2 linked regions of the Stegostoma tigrinum genome follow. The protein of the gene in region 2 purifies or fractionates together with the protein of the main gene of each other region. This does not show direct contact. Links are inferred from orthologs where the notes say so. Each region holds a gene or a part of one and is shown on either strand. Other genes may lie near its edges.

Evidence for each region.
Region 1: the proteins of ap3b1a (region 2) and AP-3 complex subunit sigma-1 fractionate together in Homo sapiens (co-fractionation; 5 studies listed by BioGRID and IntAct, counting the BioPlex papers as one, with this or other methods). This does not show direct contact. The link is inferred for Stegostoma tigrinum from reciprocal best matches to the Homo sapiens genes AP3B1 and AP3S1.

What each region holds. Positions count from the first base shown.
Region 1 is NC_081356.1:77,147,448-77,156,621, reverse strand, and holds the start of AP-3 complex subunit sigma-1, read left to right. Parts: upstream 1-5,683; 5' UTR 5,684-5,768; coding exon 5,769-5,909; intron 5,910-6,041; exon of another isoform or gene 6,042-6,493; coding exon of another isoform or gene 6,494-6,538; intron 6,539-9,174. UniProt on the Homo sapiens protein: Part of the AP-3 complex, an adaptor-related complex which is not clathrin-associated. The complex is associated with the Golgi region as well as more peripheral structures.
Region 2 is NC_081356.1:107,904,627-107,913,211, forward strand, and holds the start of ap3b1a (AP-3 complex subunit beta-1), read right to left. Parts: upstream 4,012-8,585; 5' UTR 3,862-4,011; coding exon 3,725-3,861; intron 1-3,724. UniProt on the Homo sapiens protein: Subunit of non-clathrin- and clathrin-associated adaptor protein complex 3 (AP-3) that plays a role in protein sorting in the late-Golgi/trans-Golgi network (TGN) and/or endosomes.

The sequences.
Region 1 (9,174 bases), about 31 Mb from region 2:
CAGGGAATTGATTTTGGAAAGAACTTAACTGTGAAAAGCTAACTTTTTTATTGAGAATGCAGGACACATTTGCAAAAGGAATTCCTCAGGCCAGTAGTCAAGATATCCATTGCACTTATAATGTCTAAGAACCTAATTACGAACTTTCATCCCACCACCGAGAACCTGATTCTTGGCCTTGTGCACAATTAGGTTCCCACCACCACCACCTCCCAACTGATGTTGCTTTTTGCTCCTGACAGTTGCACAAGATTCCATCAATTTCTAACTGAAAAGGAATTATGACATTCTTTGAAATCTTTTTTGGGGTAAATTCTAACATTTCACTGCATTTAGTTGTGAAGAGTTACTGCATCAAACATTAATTTTTATACTTCATTAGTTGGATTCACATTTTGGACTTCCTTTTTAAAAGAAAGGAATTTCACTGAAACAAACGGACTCTGAACGGATTCAAATAGCCTGTAATTTGCATTACTATAAGCTACATTTCATTCCACAGAGTCACAAGCTCTAGGAAGTTCACCAGAAACAATACACTCCTGCACAGGTATTAACAGTTTGTGTCAAAATGGAGACAAAAAGTATACAAGAGGACAATCAGCGAATACGATGTGCAGATGTGAACTAAAGCTGTCGTTTGAAATATAGCATGGATTCGTAAATCTTTAATGGCAGTTAGAGAGGAATCATGTAACCAAATAAGCTTTGTGCATGAATTTGGACTTGGTCTGAAATAGAATGCAATGGCAGAAGGGACAAAAAGCTGCTCTATCTCCTTCCCCCTTCAATATAACAACTAACCTTAGAGTTTGCTGCAACTTGATCTCAGTCTATATCTCTGCCAGCACACAGAGAATTCCTCAGGAAAAACGTCTAAATGTCTACTGCAGCATCTGCTGAAGAACAAAGAATACCCACCCATATTTTGAAACATCAACTCAGTGGCTTATGAATATCAGAGGGACCAGGATACCAGCTATAAGCTATGACATGCTTTTATTTCATATTTAGTCAAATTTGCCTACTTTACACTTCATCTGTGCTGCTCCTTTGCCATGACTCCTTCATCTATAATTGAGTGCATGGATTTTGAGAGTTGCATTGCATTTTGGAAATGTGTTAACCCTTTAATGATTTTACCATGGGTCATTTCCAGTACAATAACTTGACTCAATATTTGTCAAAAACCCAAAGGAACCTGTCTGACTAATCCTTACCACTGGCACATACAGTTAATTACAAACATTAGTTCAGCAGTTTAAAATAGCAGTTTTTAAAAACACCTTTACAGTCAAGCAAGGCGATACAAACAAGAGAGCCATTCAATTCCTCCTTACCTGGTTGTTACCATTTTAGTAATGAATTTATAACAAGACCACTAAAGAGGGCCATGTGGCTGCATATGACTGTTATATCATTGCCACATGATACATTATATTATTATTTGTTTCATAAATTAATTTCAAATTAAATTGAATTTCAAAACATTTTGTTATACTACATTTGCAAGTGAAGTAGGTTCAGATACAGGCACAGGTAGACAAACAGGAGGCTGGAAGAACACAGCAAGCCAGGCAGCATCTGGAGGAAAGGAGGAGTCAAAACTTTAAGTAATTACCCTTCTGCTGTCCTGGCTTGCTGTGTTCTTCCAGCCTCCTATTTGTCTGCCTTGGATTCCAGCATCTGCAGTTTGTTTTTTGTCTCAGAAAGAGGCACAAGCTGATTAGCCTCCACAGTTATCAAACAGGGCTGTCTATTTGTGATAATGGGAACTGCAGATGCTGGAGAATCCAAGATAATAAAATGTGAGGCTGGATGAACACAGCAGGCCCAGCAGCATCTGTGCTCCTGAGATGCTGCTGGGCCTGCTATGTTCACCCAGCCTCACATTTTATTATCAGGGCTGTCTATTTGTTTACTTGGGCTCACAGCTATTTACTGAAGTAAGCCTCAAGGCCAGGATGGACATTATTAAAGATTTGAAGATTTAAAACATGAGCTTTGTTTGCTATAAGAACCAAGATAAACTAGAGTAATAAGTTAGATAAGATCCCGCAAAAAATATGAGAAGTTTCCTGCCTGTCTTAGAAAATTGATAAATATTCAGCAGAGCAGTATGCATATAATTTTGCATTAGTACCACAATATGGCTGTAGCTAAAATGGTAACACAGCCAATCCTTAACTCAAAGTTGTCTCTACTTGAATTGTATTGAAAATTAACTAAGCGTTGTAGAAAATCTTAACTACTACATCATTCAAGGATTGACGGTTGTGGGGAATACATTATCGAAGGAGGCTGCTGAATCTGATTGCATCAGCAAATCCAAGCTAAATATTCTTAAATGATTGAAAAAAATTTGATGTACATGTTTTAGAGCTCTCAGCGGATGTGATATTTCCAAGGTATTGGATCTACTCTTCTGAGCTTTTCCAGCAATTTCTGTTTTTGTTTCTGATTATACTTCAACAGATGCATTTAGCTGAAAGGAAATCTGATCAGCTTGCAGAAACTAACTACAAAATGTTTGTCTGTATGTCAGTGTTCACATAACTAAGGACAACTTGTCATCTTAATTTTGTACTTTTGCTCCCTAACAATGTTGAAGTCAGTGAAGTATTTTAGGACGGGGTTGTATGAACAAATTGGCACAAATAAAATATGGAACCCAAAGAAATAGCGAGAAAAGAGATAGGTTTGAGGCTAGTATAGTAGATAAGGAAAGTTAAAGAGTCAAGGCAGGCAAGAGCACAGCAGAGAATGAAGTAAGGCTCATAAATTAAACTGCATTTATTTCAAAGCAAGAGGCCTGACAGGTAAGGCAGATACATTTAGGGCATGATTGGGAATGTGGGACTGGGAAATTATATCTATTTGAAAATCGTGGCCCAGGGAGAGGCAAGATTGGCAGTTTAATGTTCTGGACTACAGAAATTATAGGGAAGATAGAAAGTGGGGGCAAAGCAGGAGGGTGAGTGGAGTTCTTGGTTGTGGATAACATTAGGTTGTACTTAGGCAAGGCATTCTTGGAAGAACGTCCAGTGAAGTTACATGGGTGGAACTGAGAAAGAGATGATCAACTTATTGGGATTGTACTATAGGGCCCCCAATAATCAGTTTGAAATTGAGAAGCAAATATGTCAGGACATCTCAGATATACAAGAAGAATAGGTTGTAATGGTAGGGAATTTTAACTTTCCAAACATAGACTAGCACTGCCATAGTGTTAAGAGCTTGGTTGAAAAGAAATTTGTTAAGCGTGTATAAGAAAACGTTCTTATTCAGTACGTGGGTGTACCAGCTAGGGGAGCAAAACTGACCTTCTCTTAGGAAATAAGGTAGGGCAAGTGACTGAGGTGCCAGTGGGGAAGCACTTTAGAGCAAGTGATCATAATTCTACTAGTTTTAAAATAATTATGGAAAAGGATAAACCTGATCTAAAAGTCGAAGTTCTAAATTGGAGTAAGGCAAAATGTAACAGTATTGGGAAGGATCTTTTGGAAGTTGATTAGGGGAGATAGGTTCACATCTAAAGATACAGTTGGAAAATGGGAGACCTTCAAAAACAAATTAATACGAATTCAGAGACAGTGTGTTTCTATTAGTGCAAAAGGCAAGGCTGGTAGGTATAGGGAATTCTGCATGTCTAGAAAACTTGAGGTTCTGTCAAGAAGAGGGAGGTACATGTTAGGTAGACAGTTGGGGTATAGTATGGGGCAGTAAGAGTGTACTTAAGAGGGATTTCACAAAGGCAAAAAGGAGACGAGAGAGCTTTGGCAAATAGTGTTAACGAGAATCGAAAGAGATTTTACAAATGCATTGAGGGCAAAAGACTGGGGAGCTAATAGGGACACTTAAAGATCAACAAGGCCATATACGTGTGGAACGACAGGAGATGGATAGGATACTAAATGAATATTTCACATCAGTATTTACTGCTGAGAAGGACATGGAAGCTAGAGAACTTGGGAAATAAATAGTGATGTTTTGAAAAGTGTTCATAGGAGGTGCTGGAGGTCTTAAAATGCTAGGTACAGATAAACCCCAAGTCCTGATCAGCTGTATCCCAGAACTTTGAGGGAAGCTGGGTGCTTGATGAAATATTTGTATCATCAATAGTCACAAGTGAGGTGCCAGATGACTGATGGGCGGCTAATGTGGTTTATTTAAGAAAGGTAGTAAGGAGACACCAGGAAACTATGGATTGGTGAGCCTAGTGCCAGTGGTAAGTTCTTAGACGGGATTCTGAGAGACAGGATTTATATGTATATGGAAAGGTAAGGGCTGATTAGGGATAGTCAACATGGCTTTGTCTGTGAAAAACTGTATCTCACTACCTTGATTGAGTTTGTTGAATAGGCGAAAAAGAAGATTTACAAAGGCAAAGCAGTACACCTTGTCCACATGGACTTTAGCAAGGCATTTGACAAAGTTCCACATGGTAGACTGCTTAGCAAGGTTAGATCACGTGGGATTCGGTGGAGCTAGCCAACTGGATACAAATTGACTTGAAGGTAGGAGAGACTGGTGGTAGAAGGTTTTTTTAAAAAACTGGAGACCTGTGACCAGCAGTGTGCAATAGTATCCATTGCTTTTTGGTATTTATATAAATGACTTGGATGTGAAATATGAAAGGTATGGTTGGTAAAGTTGCAGATGACACTAAAATTGTTGGCAAAGTGGACAGTAAAGAAGGTTAGAGATAACACGGCGTAGAGCTGGATGAACACAGCAGGCCAAGCAGCAAAGCTTGACATTTCAGTCGGGACCCTTCTTCAGTAAAATAGGTTATCTCAGTGTAAATTGGGACCTTGATTAGATGGGCCAAGGAGTGGCAGGAGTTTAATTTAGATAAATGAGAAGTGTTGCACTTTGGTAAGGAAAACCAGGACAGGACTTACACAGTTAATGGTAGGACCAGAGGAAGCTGAACAATGAGGCTTTGGGGTCCAAATGCATATTTCCTTGAAAGTGGAGTTGCAGGTCGACAGGATGGTGAGGAAGGTGTTGACACACTAGCTTTTATTCATCAGAGCACTGAGTACAGGAGTTGGGAATTCATGATACGGACAAACAGGAAATTGGTAAGGTCACTTTTAGAATACCATGTGAAGGATATCTAACTGGCGAGTATGAGTTGGACTGCAAGGTCTGTTTCGGTGCTGTATAACACTATGACTCTACGAGGAAAAAAGTCAATCCGTTTGGACATATTCCAAATGTCAACCTTCGCCTTCCGTCCCACCCGCACCTTTATGCACCTGTCATTGTGCCAAAGGAAGTCATTCAACATGGAATCCTGATCTTGACTCTTGAAAATCTCTGATCTTCCGACGGAAGATAGGAATAAAATCGTTCAATAAAGACCGTTAAAAGTATGTATTCGTTTTACTCAATGTGATAGAAAATACCTACAGAAGACTGTGAAATCATTAAGTACCCTAATAAACGAGCAGTCTAGCACCCACCACTGCCAAAAAAATCGCGTGAAAAGCTTTAATACATTTTTTGTTAACTTAAGCCCATTTTAAAACGTCTTGAATTTACGACGTTTTTTTAAAAAAGAAAATCCCACTCAGAAACTAAATCGGGTGTTCCTAAAGTTATCTCTAAGGCCGTTTGATAGGCGTTTCGAAATAGCGCAATGACTTTCCTGAACGGTGGTGGTTGCCGTCACGGTGTAAAGGGCTGGCAGCTGGGAGGAAGTTTCCTGTGACGGACGCTTCACTTCGGGTTCGGTTCCGCCCACCTCGGTTTTTACGTTCATGTTTCGGAGAAATTTCGTTTCAATTCTCAACTGCCAGTCGGTGCTCCGGGAAGAGGGCTGTCCGGTCGTCATGATTAAAGCCATCCTGATATTTAACAACCATGGCAAGCCGCGGCTCTCCAAGTTTTATGAGCGCTATGTGAGTATGAGGGAGAGAGGGCCGGGATCGAAGCGCCCGTTAAACTGTCAACTTCCGCGTGCGGTCTGTACATCTAAACCGGGCACGCGCTCCAGGCCACATTCCAAAGTAGGGCTTGCGCTCGGAGCAACCTGGCGTCATCACAGAGACGGAGTCTTGCTCTCAAAGTGAGCTTCTACATTGGGCTGTCACAGCCGCATAGTAGAACCGCTCCACTTCGCCCACCGGCACTCGAGCACCGTATTTTGAATTCGAAGATTTGCCCGTCGGCAACTGTAAAGTTGGTGTACAGATTACACCAGGCTTTATTTCAATGAGCTGTACTGAATATTCCAAAGCAGAGATAGGTGGTGTTTCTTTCGAAACGCTGTTCTTCAGGTTGTCCTCCCCGATCTATGTGGTTGCGAAATTGCAGCATACAGCCATCGGCTGCACGAAGCGTTGTTTTAACACACGAGGTCAGACAAAACAAACATTTAAAGTTCAGCGAAGAAGAAAAATACTAAACTAAAGCAACATTTGTTATTTACGCATTGGGACGAAGTACCTTTTGAGTTTATCGAAAGCAAAAGTTTTCGAACTACATGTTGGAAAGGCAGGAGCGGTTGAAATCCAGTAGCGGCTACCCTGTGAGTTCATCCTGTGATAAATGCTTTCTAATTAGGGGGGCGTCTGAGGGAAAGGGCTGTGATATATTGGCACATCAGTAGTTAAGGTTGAGATGTGAGATCATCGGAGACTTGGAAGGCGATAGGCATTATGTGTCTAACTGTACAGCGTTCTAGTATTCCTACAAAAATAAAGTTTTATCAGACCCTAATTACTATTGCAAATACAGAGTGCATTTATATAGTGGCAAAGTGCGTTACAGCCAATGAGGTATGGACTGTAACAAGCAAAAAGTACTGGAGGAAACTCTGCAGGTCTGACAGTATCTGTAAAGAAAATCAGAGTTAACTTTCCAGTCCAGTGACCATCGTCAGAACTGATACGATCTCTTGCGCTGAAGAACACCTGGCAGCCACTTTGTATACAACAAGGTCTCTCAAATAGTCATGCAATAATTCAAAAACTGTGTGTTTGAATCTGTTGGTATTGGCAAGGATGCTAGAGATCACTCCCTTGCTGCTGCTCAAAAGAAATGTCATGGTTTTTTTTCATATACCGGCTTAGAAAGCAGATCACTGTGAATTGAACATCACCTCTTGATGGGTGTGGTGTGTTAACTTAGTTTTATTCTCCAGTCTTTGGCAAGAGTTTAATTAGGGGTAGGAATCAGCCATTTAGCCCCTTGCATCCACTTTGCCATGTTCTAACATGGCAGATAATCTATCTCAACATCTTTTTCACACATCATCCAGGTATCTGTTGATGTCATTAGTATTGAAAACTCAATCAATCTCTGTCTTGACTACAGAGATAATGGGAACTGCAGATGCTGGAGATTCCAAGATAATAAAATGTGAGGCTGGATGAACACAGCTGGCCAAGCAGCATCTCAGGAGCACAAAAGCTGACGTTTCGGGCCTAGACCCTTCATCAGAGAGGGGGATGGGGGGAGGGAACTGGAATAAATAGGGAGAGAGGGGGAGGCGGACCGAAGATGGAGAGTAAAGAAGATAGGTGGAGAAGGTGTGGGTGGGGAGGTAGGGAGGGGATAGGTCAGTCCAGGGAAGACGGACAGGTCAAGGAGGTGGGATGAGGTTAGTAGGTAGCTGGGGGTGCGGCTTGGGGTGGGAGGAAGGGATGGGTGAGAGGAAGAACCGGTTAGGGAGGCAGAGACAGGTTGGACTGGTTTTGGGATGCAGTGGGTGGGGGGGAAGAGCTGGGCTGGTTGTGTGGTGCAGTGGGGGGAGGGGATGAACTGGGCTGGTTTAGGGATGCAGTGGGGGAAGGGGAGATTTTGAAACTGGTGAAGTCCACATTGATACCATATGGCTGCAGGGTTCCCAGGCGGAATATGAGTTGCTGTTCCTGCAACCTTCGGGTGGCATCATTGTGGCAGTGCAGGAGGCCCATGATGGACATGTCATCAAGAGAATGGGAGGGGGAGTGGAAATGGTTTGCGACTGGGAGGTGCAGTTGTTTGTTGCGAACTGAGCGGAGGTGTTCTGCAAAGCGGTCCCCAAGCCTCCGCTTGGTTTCCCCAATGTAGAGAAAGCCGCACCGGGTACAGTGGATGCAGTATACCACATTGGCAGATTGGCAGATGCCCCACTGCATCCCTAAACCAGCCCAGTTCATCCCCTCCCCCCACTGCACCACACAACCAGCCCAGCTCTTCCCCCCCACCCACTGCATCCCAAAACCAGTCCAACCTGTCTCTGCCTCCCTAACCGGTTCTTCCTCTCACCCATCCCTTCCTCCCACCCCAAGCCGCACCCCCAGCTACCTACTAACCTCATCCCACCTCCTTGACCTGTCCGTCTTCCCTGGACTGACCTATCCCCTCCCTACCTCCCCACCCACACCTTCTCCACCTATCTTCTTTACTCTCCATCTTCGGTCCGCCTCCCCCTCTCTCCCTATTTATTCCAGTTCCCTCCCCCCATCCCCCTCTCTGATGAAGGGTCTAGGCCCGAAACGTCAGCTTTTGTGCTCCTGAGATGCTGCTTGGCCAGCTGTGTTCATCCAGCCTCACATTTTATTATCTGTCTTGACTACATACAGTTAGAGTTTCCAAAGCCCACTAGGGCAGAGAACACTAAAGATTCCTCCCTCTCCTGAGCCGAGGAATTCTTCCTCATCTCAATGCTTGCCCCTTATCTTTTAGAATCTGTGGCTTGGTTTAGACCCTGCAGCCAGAAGAGATATTTGTTCTGTATCTATCTTGTTTGTCTCTTTTAAGAATCTTGCAAGATTCAGTTAGATTTCGTCACATTCTTTGAAACTGTTAAAGAATACAAGCTTAGTCTCTTAGAGCCATAGAGCTGTACAGCATGGAAACAGATTCTTCAGTTCAACTCATCCGTGCTGATCAGATATCCTAAATGAGTCTAGTCGCATTTGCCAGCACTTGGCCCTTATCCCTCTAAACCATTCCTGTTCACATACCCATCCAGATGGAGGCTAGTATAATTGCAACAACACTTTGTCTGGCAGCTCATTCCATACACGCACTGCCCTCCATGAAAAAATTGCTCCTTAAGTCCCTTTTAAATCTTTCTCCTCTCACTTTAAAACTATGCCCTCTAGATTTGGACTTTGCTACCCTGAGAAAAAGACTTCGGCAACTGTATCTACGCCCCTCATAATTTTACAAATT
Region 2 (8,585 bases):
TGCAGTTAAGTTTCCCCAGGGGTGGGTTTTGAGACCTTCACTCTTGCTGATATTTATAATTTAATAACCTAGATCTTGGTGCAATGGATGAAACTGGCATGCCTGAATGATATAAATCTCTGAAAATTTTGAACTGAGAAGCATTATGTAGAAATTCAGAAGGGTTACAGTTCGAGAAATAGGCTGATGTTCAACACTGAAGAGTGTGAAATGACTCATTTTTGAAAGAGCAGGCAATACTAAAGAAAGCACAAGTTATTGAAGGTGGTAGTACAGATTTAAACAGTAGCTAATAAAGCATACACTAACCTAGTCTTTATTAATCAGGAACAAGAATAAGAAAGTAAGGAAGTTATCAAAGAAAAAAGAATTGCAGCTACTAGAAATCTAAAACAAAAACAGAAATTAATTTGATTTTGTTTTGCTTTCTTATTGTCACATGCACCCAAGTAAAGTGAAAAGTTGTGTGCCATACATGCAGATCATAACATATAAAGATCGTAGCATGACTGAACACAGCAAGGATACAAAATCACGATTGTAAAGATGGTGCACAAAAAGCAAAATCAACATCAGATCTGAAATTTGAGCAGTCCATTCAGAAGACGAGTAACAGCAGTGAAGAAGCTTTTCTTGAACCTAGTGTCTAAGTGCATTTAAGCTTTTGTGTTTTCTGCCTGAAGGAAGAAGTTGGAAGAGGTTATAACTGGGGTGGGAGGGTCTTTTCAAAGCAAAGAAGGGAAGATGGAGTCAATGGATGGAAAGCTGGCTTGTGTGGTGATCTGAGGTGTGTGTTGGAAAATCTCAGCAAGTTTGGCAGCATCTGTGGAAAGAAAGCAGAGTTACGGACTTTAAACGTTAATGCTGCCTTCTCTCCACAGATGTTAAACTTGTATATCCTCAACCTGAGCATCACACGTCACCCCATACTATTTTTTTTCAATTCACTCGTGGGACATGGGCATTGCTGGCTGGGCCAGCATTTGTTACCTGCCTTAAATGTCTTTGGAGAAAATGGTGTTGACTGCATTCTTGAATCACTGCAGTCCATATACTGTAGGTTGACCCACAATGCCCTTAAGGCAGGGAATTCCATGATTTTGACCCGGTGAGAGTAAAGGGATGGCAATATATTTCCAAGTCAGGATGGTGGCTGGCTTAGAGGTGAACTTGCAAGTGACAGTGTTCCCATGTATCTGCTGCCCTTGGCCTTCCAGATGGAAATGGTCATGAGTTTGGAAAGTGTTTTCAAGAATCCTTGTAATATCCACAAGCTGCAGTTCAAAAATTCACCAAACTGGTCCTACTGAGCATTGGAGGAGGGGTTGTGGTGTAAGTCAAGTGGGCCACTTTGTTCCTGGACGGAGTCAAGCTTCTTGAGCATTGTTGGAGCTGCTCAAGTGGGCAGTATTCCGTCACATTCCTGACATGTCAAGTAGGTGGTGGGCAGACTTCAGGCAGTCAGATGGAGAGTTACTCGCTGCAGTACTCCTAGCTTATGAACTGCTGTTGCAGTCACTGCGCTTCTGTGCAAAGCCCAGTCTTTGTCAATGCCAACCCCCAGGATGTTCGAAGTGGGACATTCAGTGATGGAAACACCGTTAAATGTCAAGGGGGCAATAGATTGTCTTCAACTGAAGATGGTCACTACCTGGCATTTCTCTGACACAAGTTTTGATCACTACCCTGAACAACTCCAGCAGAGGTGCCCTACAGCTGAGATGACTGGCTTCCAACAATAACAACCACTTTCCTATGACTCCAACTAGCACGGAGTTTGCCCCCCATTCCCATTGATTACAGTTTCCCTAAGGCAACTTGGTCCCATTTGGAGTCAAATGTGGCCATTATGTCAAGGACTTTCACTCTCCCCTCTGGAATTCAGCACTTCTGTCCATATTAAACCAAAACTGTAATAGGGTCAGGAGCTGAGAGCCCTAACAGAGCCAAACTGGGTGTCAATGACCAGGTTATCGCTGAGCAAGTGCTGTTTGACAGCACTGCTGAAGACATTTCAACACTAACACTACAATGGCTTTAACAGGTGTATTTAGTGCTTCGTTTTGAAGAAAGGTTGAGACAGAAGTATGAGCAATCTGCTTCAAAGCCCATAAACCCCAAAGTGGCTTTGGACTTTTTTTCCTAAATTTGGAAAAGCAGTAGCCTGAATGAGTCATGTCAAGCTCCCACAGAACTAAGATTTTTAGTTTTAGTTTTTCAGTGGCAGTTGCTGGGGTCTTGAAGCTGGATGTGGAAGCTGTTTTTTCTCTCTCTGTTACAGCTAAAAGCTGGGGATTCTCTTCCTGCTGCTAGAATTGCATGTGAGACACTATTTTATTGAATTTGCCTTTGCCAAGGGTGTATTTAAGAGTTAACTAGGTGTAGAGCTGGATGAACACAGCAGGCCGGCTGATGTTTCGGGCCTAAACCCTTCTGCAGAAATTGTGCTCTGATGCTGCTTAGCTTGCTTTGTTCATCCAGCTCTACGCCTTGTTATCTCAGATTCTCCAGCATCCGCAGTTCCTGCTATCTCTGTGTTTAAGAGTTAATGTTTAGCAGTTAGTCTGTTATTGTTAAGTATTCCAGCAGTTAGGTTATTTGAATTTTTATTGTGTTTTAACTAAATGTGCAAATAGTGGTATTTTTTGCTTCAAGACTGGTAGTTGACAAATCAAATTGTATCTGGAACACCACACCTGACCTAGGCTGTCATAATGATGGGGTGTGCGCACACTTGGTGGTTAGTCTAGTCTGGTCTGGTCTGGTCTAGTCTAAAAGGATAGGAAGTAACTGGAAAAAACACACAAAACAATGAGTGTGGTTCCAGGGATAAGGAACTTCAATTACATGGGTAAACTGGAGAAGTTTGGGCTACTTATTTTGTAGAAGTTTAAACAAGATTCAATGGAGATATCCAACATCTCACAGGCCTCTCGACACGGTAGAATACTGAACTAAAACCCCACTGTTAGAAGGCTCAAGAACAAGATGCTGCTGTTGGAGTGGACAAGGTCAAAAATCATATTACACCAAGTTTAATCCAACAGGCTTATTTGCAGACAGAAGCTTTCAGAGTCTCATCTGAAGCCAGAGCGGAACTCCCAGAAGTTGTCTTCGAATAAAGCTGTTGGACTATCGCCTGGGGCTGCAATTTTTGACAGAGAACAACACTGCACAGATTGAAACTAAATGGCAAAAGAAGCAATGGTGAGTGGATGAAAGAGAGTTTTGGAACACATCAACAACCTGGAACAAATAGTCTTAAGGTATAGTTTAATTGTAACATCTAAAAGTGAAGTAGATTATCATTTGAAAGGGGACACTACACAGTCTTAGTGAGATAGCAATAAATAGTTTTAAGTAAATTGCTCATTCAGAAAATGATGCAAACATGACAGGCCAAATAGCCCTTTTCAAAGCTGTCACAACTAAGTCTCTCATCACGTGACGTTTGTAAAGTGGCCATACTCAATAATTTACAGCACTTCAATCTAAAACGAAAGCTGGGGAAAAAAAGCACCGATGTAATGGACTAAGTACTTGCTCACAGTAAAGTGTTTAGTCGCCTTGGGACATGGATCAGCACGAAAAAACAAGTTTGCCAAAGGCCTTTCACGAAAACTATATTTCACAACAAGGACTAGTAGCACGAAAGAGTTCCTGTATCAGAGAACGGAGCAGAAGGAGTGTGTAAAATCCGGCATTCAGGCGCTCTTTAACCTACTTCTTGTAGTCTACGCTGAAGAGCCGGAACCCAGCTGCTGCCCCTCCTCCTGAAGTCACTGCCGAGGCTTCTTGGCCCAACTCGGTCGATTCACTTCCCAGAGCCTGATCATTGTAGGACGTGCTGTTGGTCGCCATGCTCGCCCCGTGTCCCGGGCACCAGCTGCCAAAGTGGTGTGAACAGTTAGTTTAATCTGGGTAATGTCGAAAAGTCCCCGCCGCCTGCCAGCCGGTCCCAACTCGAGCGACACCGGAAATCTGCCGGGGGAGGAGGTCAGCTGACACCGAGGTCACATGACCCGGCGATACCATGGAAACGCCCCTTGCACATAACCGTCGTGACGCCGCCCTGCTCAACTGGAGGGGAAAGAGTTGCTGTTTTCTTCTTTAAAAACACTCAATGCAAATTCGTGGTAAGGACGTAAGAGACGGAGTAGGTCACATTTATAATCACACGTCCCTTTCCAAAACGACGATGCCAAATTCAGGGAGTCGTCGTACAAGAGGAAATTGGCTCAGAAATATAAGTAAGAAACGTCTCAGGTTTGTTTGTTGGATGGAGTCAAACTCCTAATGTGTGTGTAGTTATCCATATGCTACTGTACAGAAACGACTGTATGTACATAAAGATATGTCTATGAATAAAATATGTTTTTAAAGTTACGGAAAAGTTGGCCCACAAATGAGCCAAATGAAATGAATGAGATGAACAGTGGTAAATGAAAGGTAATTGAAACTCAGTGTCAAAGCCCATGTAATGTAAGAAGGAACATGCTCTCAGAGCATCACCACTCTAATTATTACAAAGGGTTACACTCTAATAATGTTACTACTATGCACCCAGAGAGAAAAAGGGAAAAAAAAACTTGGAAATGTACTGGTCATATTAGAGCACTATTGATACTACAGACAGGTTGGACTAGTATGCATCATTTGTAATTTTTACTGGTATTTCATCAGGATTTTGAAAATATTTAGCAAATCTTTTAGATTTCTTCTGCACTGTCTAAAATGAACACAAAACAGAACAAGCTCTTTGGACCACCTTGAAAAGCATTAACATCCTTCTTGTACACATACTCCAGCTGCTATATAATTTCATTGTAACCTCCCTGCTCCTATTAATGAAATGTAGAATACTGAATATGCTTTATTGACAAAGAACAAAGAAAATTACAGCACAGGAACAGGCCCTTCGGCCCTCCAAGCCTGCACTGATCCAGATCCTCTCTCTAAACTGTTGCCTATTTTCCAAGGATCTGTGTCCCTCTGCTCCCTGCCCATTCATGTATCTGTCTAGATACATCTTAAATGATGCTATCATGCCCACCTCTACCACCTCTGCTGGCAATGCGTTCCAGGCACCCACCACCCTCTGCGTAAAGAACTTTCCACGCATATCTCCCTCAAACTTTTCCCCAGTCACCTTGAAATCGTAGTAATTGAGTCCCCCACTCTGGGGAAAAAGCTTCTCGCTATCCACCCTGTCTATACCTCTCATGATTTTGTGGACCTCAGTCAGGTCCCCTCCTCAACCTCCGTCTTTCTAATGTAAATTACCCTAATCCACTCAACCTGTCTTCATACCTAGAAGAGACAGTTCTCTCTTTGTCTTGCCACTTTAAATGACTTATGTATAAATACCCAGACCTTATTCTCTGACACACCCTTTGGAAAAGTGTAGTTTCTTTTATTCTGTCTCTACACATGTTTGTACCAAAATGTATCTCCTCATACTTCACACTGAACTTTATCGACCCACTCAACAAAAGTGCCAATGTTCCTTTGAAGTTCTGTGTTGTCCTCTTCAAACTTCCAATTCTCCTGAGATTTCTGTCATCCACAAGGTTGAAAATTGCACCTAGCACATAAGATCTCAATCATTTATTCCTATGTTAGGAAAAGCAAGGATTCCAAAAGTGAACCCTGGGGGACTTCACTACAAACCTGGCAGCACAAAAAGTATCCATTATCTATTAAGCTCTGTTTCCTATCTCAGTCAATTTTGTATCCACATTGCTACTGTCCCTTTTATTCCATACGTGATAACTTTCTTAATAAGTCTGGTTTTTGTGTGGCACTGTATTGAATGCCTTTTGGAAATCCATGTGCACCATATAACAGCTTTGTCCTCACAACAACAATACAAAAGGTCGAGCAAATCAGTTAGACAAGATTTTCCCTTAGTACGTCCAGACTGACTCTTCTGAATCAACTGATATTTTTTCATATGTTATTACCTCTATTCTGAAAAATTGTTGGCATAGTTAACACCAAGAAGGAAAGCCTTAGTCTATAGGGCTATATAGACAGACTGGCCTGGTGGGCTGAACAGTGCAAATGCAATTTAATCCTGAAATGTGTGAGGTCATGCATTTTGGGAGAATTAACAAGGCAAGGGAGTACCCCTTGAATGGTAGGACTCTAGGGAGCGCAGTGGTTCAAAGAGACCTTTGTGTGCATGTCCATAGATCCTTGAAGGCATCAGGACAGATAGATAAGGTCATGAAGATAAGGTCATAAGGAATACCTACCTTGAATAGTCAAGACATTGAATACACAAGCAAAGAATTGATGATTGAGCTGTCTATAAAATTGGTTCGGCCAAAGCTGTAGCACTGTATGGAGCTCTTATTGTCACTATAGGAAAATGTGATTGCATTAGAGTCAATGCAGAAGAAATTTACCATGATGTTGCCTGGACTGGAGTTAATCAGCTATGAAGAAAAACTAAATAGAAAAGAAGAAGAATTGGCTGACAAGGAATCTGATTAAAGTATACAAGGTTAAATAGATAGAGAGAAACTTTTTCCCTTAGCAGAGGGGTCAAAAACCATCTACAAGATGCACTGCAACAACTCACCAAGGTTCCTTAGATAGCACCTTACAAACCAGTTCTCTCTAGAACATTAAAGGAAAAGGACATCAGGTACATGAGAACAGCACCACCAGCAAGTTCCCCTCCAAACCACACACCATCCTGACTTGGAACAACATCGCCATTCCTTCACTGTCTCTAGGGCAAAATCCTGGAACTCATGGATTGTAGCAGTTCAAGAAGGCAACTCACTACCATCTTCTCAGCACCAATTAGGCATGTGTAATAAATGCTAGGCTAGCCAATGTTGCCCACATCCCATTAATTCATAAATAAATTTCAAAACACACCAACATGTTTAGGTTTAAAATTAGGCCTTGCAGATGATGAATTCAGAAGGCAACAAGAAGGGAGAGGAAGAGTATTAAAGAAGGAAAAGTAAAGTATACAAATAGAGGCCACCAAATTCAGGAATTTTTATTAGAGTGCGGGTGAGAAGATGAGTCTATTGTGAAACACCTTGAGAACTATTGAATTTGATTTTGTTTGTATTGTCAATCATGAGATGTTGTATTAGCAGTAGATGAGACAATATTGCTCAAAAAGTAAGAATATCAATAAAAAACAGTCCCCCTACACAACATCTGTGTTCTACTTCAACATTTTTTCTTTATCTCTTTATTTGTATCTAAGATTTGTACCTAGGTATTTTGTATCTGAAATGACACCAAGTGGGGCAACATTGTAAACTTTTCACTGTACTCCTGTACTTGAGTACTAATGACAGTAAACCTACAGGGCATTCTGCTATAATGCGCATTCCAGCAACACGAATTGAGAATGATGCAATTGACAAATCAGTGAATGGTATTTCCACAGTGCGAACTTTGTGTTGGCTGTAACATGATTCCGTTGAGTCCACTGGACCTGATGTTATTGAATGTTTTTCTTTGATTCACAATACTCAAGGTGAAACCTAACCATTGATTCATAAGGTTTTAGCACAACTTCCTTTTTGTTAACTATGCATCTATTTATATCCATAGTCTAACACCTGCCTTTCTCACCAAAACCTCAGTTACATACTTCCAAGCTGAATTATTTTCAACAGCTGCGTATCTTTGACTTAACTACAAATCCTAATCCCTCCTTTTGCTCCGACACGAAATAAATGTGGAACATTCAAAGGTTGATGAGGTTTGCGTGCAAGATTTCATGGCTGCCGTCAAAGCTACCCTAAAGAATTTGTATAAAAATAGTCAACATACCAGTTCTTGAAATATCAGTTCCCTCTTCTGGAACCTGTTACTGTATAACAGTGAGGAAAATTTCGGGTTTGCTTGGCTGTGGAGCAGGTAGTTTACCAACATTCACCGTCGAGTTCTGTATGGAGAACAGTCACTTGAGCAAGATTGAGAAAGGCCAGTGGCTCCTGTAGAACAGGTCCGTCCAACAGGTGGACCAGGCACTGGACTGTGAATATTCACTTCCCAGCCATGGTCATACTGCAGCCACATTTCCGTAATGACAATTAGATCATATCAGTTCACTTCAGTTAATGCTGTCTTTTCATCTGCTTTGTTGCAAATGCAGGGAGTGTTTTAGTGATAGTGGAGTTTAAAGGGATGGATAGAGGTTATAGAGATAGGTTGGGAGGTTTATACCAGCTGCGGAAAGCTACATGGATACTGGGAATTGAAGGAACGGATAGATTTGGTCTTACGAAGGTTGACAGGTAATCAAGAATGTTACAGTTTCGGAGTTACGGAAAATTGCAGATGCAGGAGGTACGGGGGCTGGATTAGATTCCAGAGATAGGCATAGATGCAGGGAGCAAGAGACACACACAAACACACGGAGCTTGAGTGTTGAGTGATATTTTTTGGTGCTCTGCTCCTAACCTTGCTTTTCCTATCGGCCCTTTATCTCAAAAGCGCGATTTTGTATAACACGATGTTACGCTGGAACTCAAGTATCGCATTAAAGCAGAACTCTAATTCTAACATACGAAATGCATCCATTCCAAGGGCTTTTCACAGAGTGT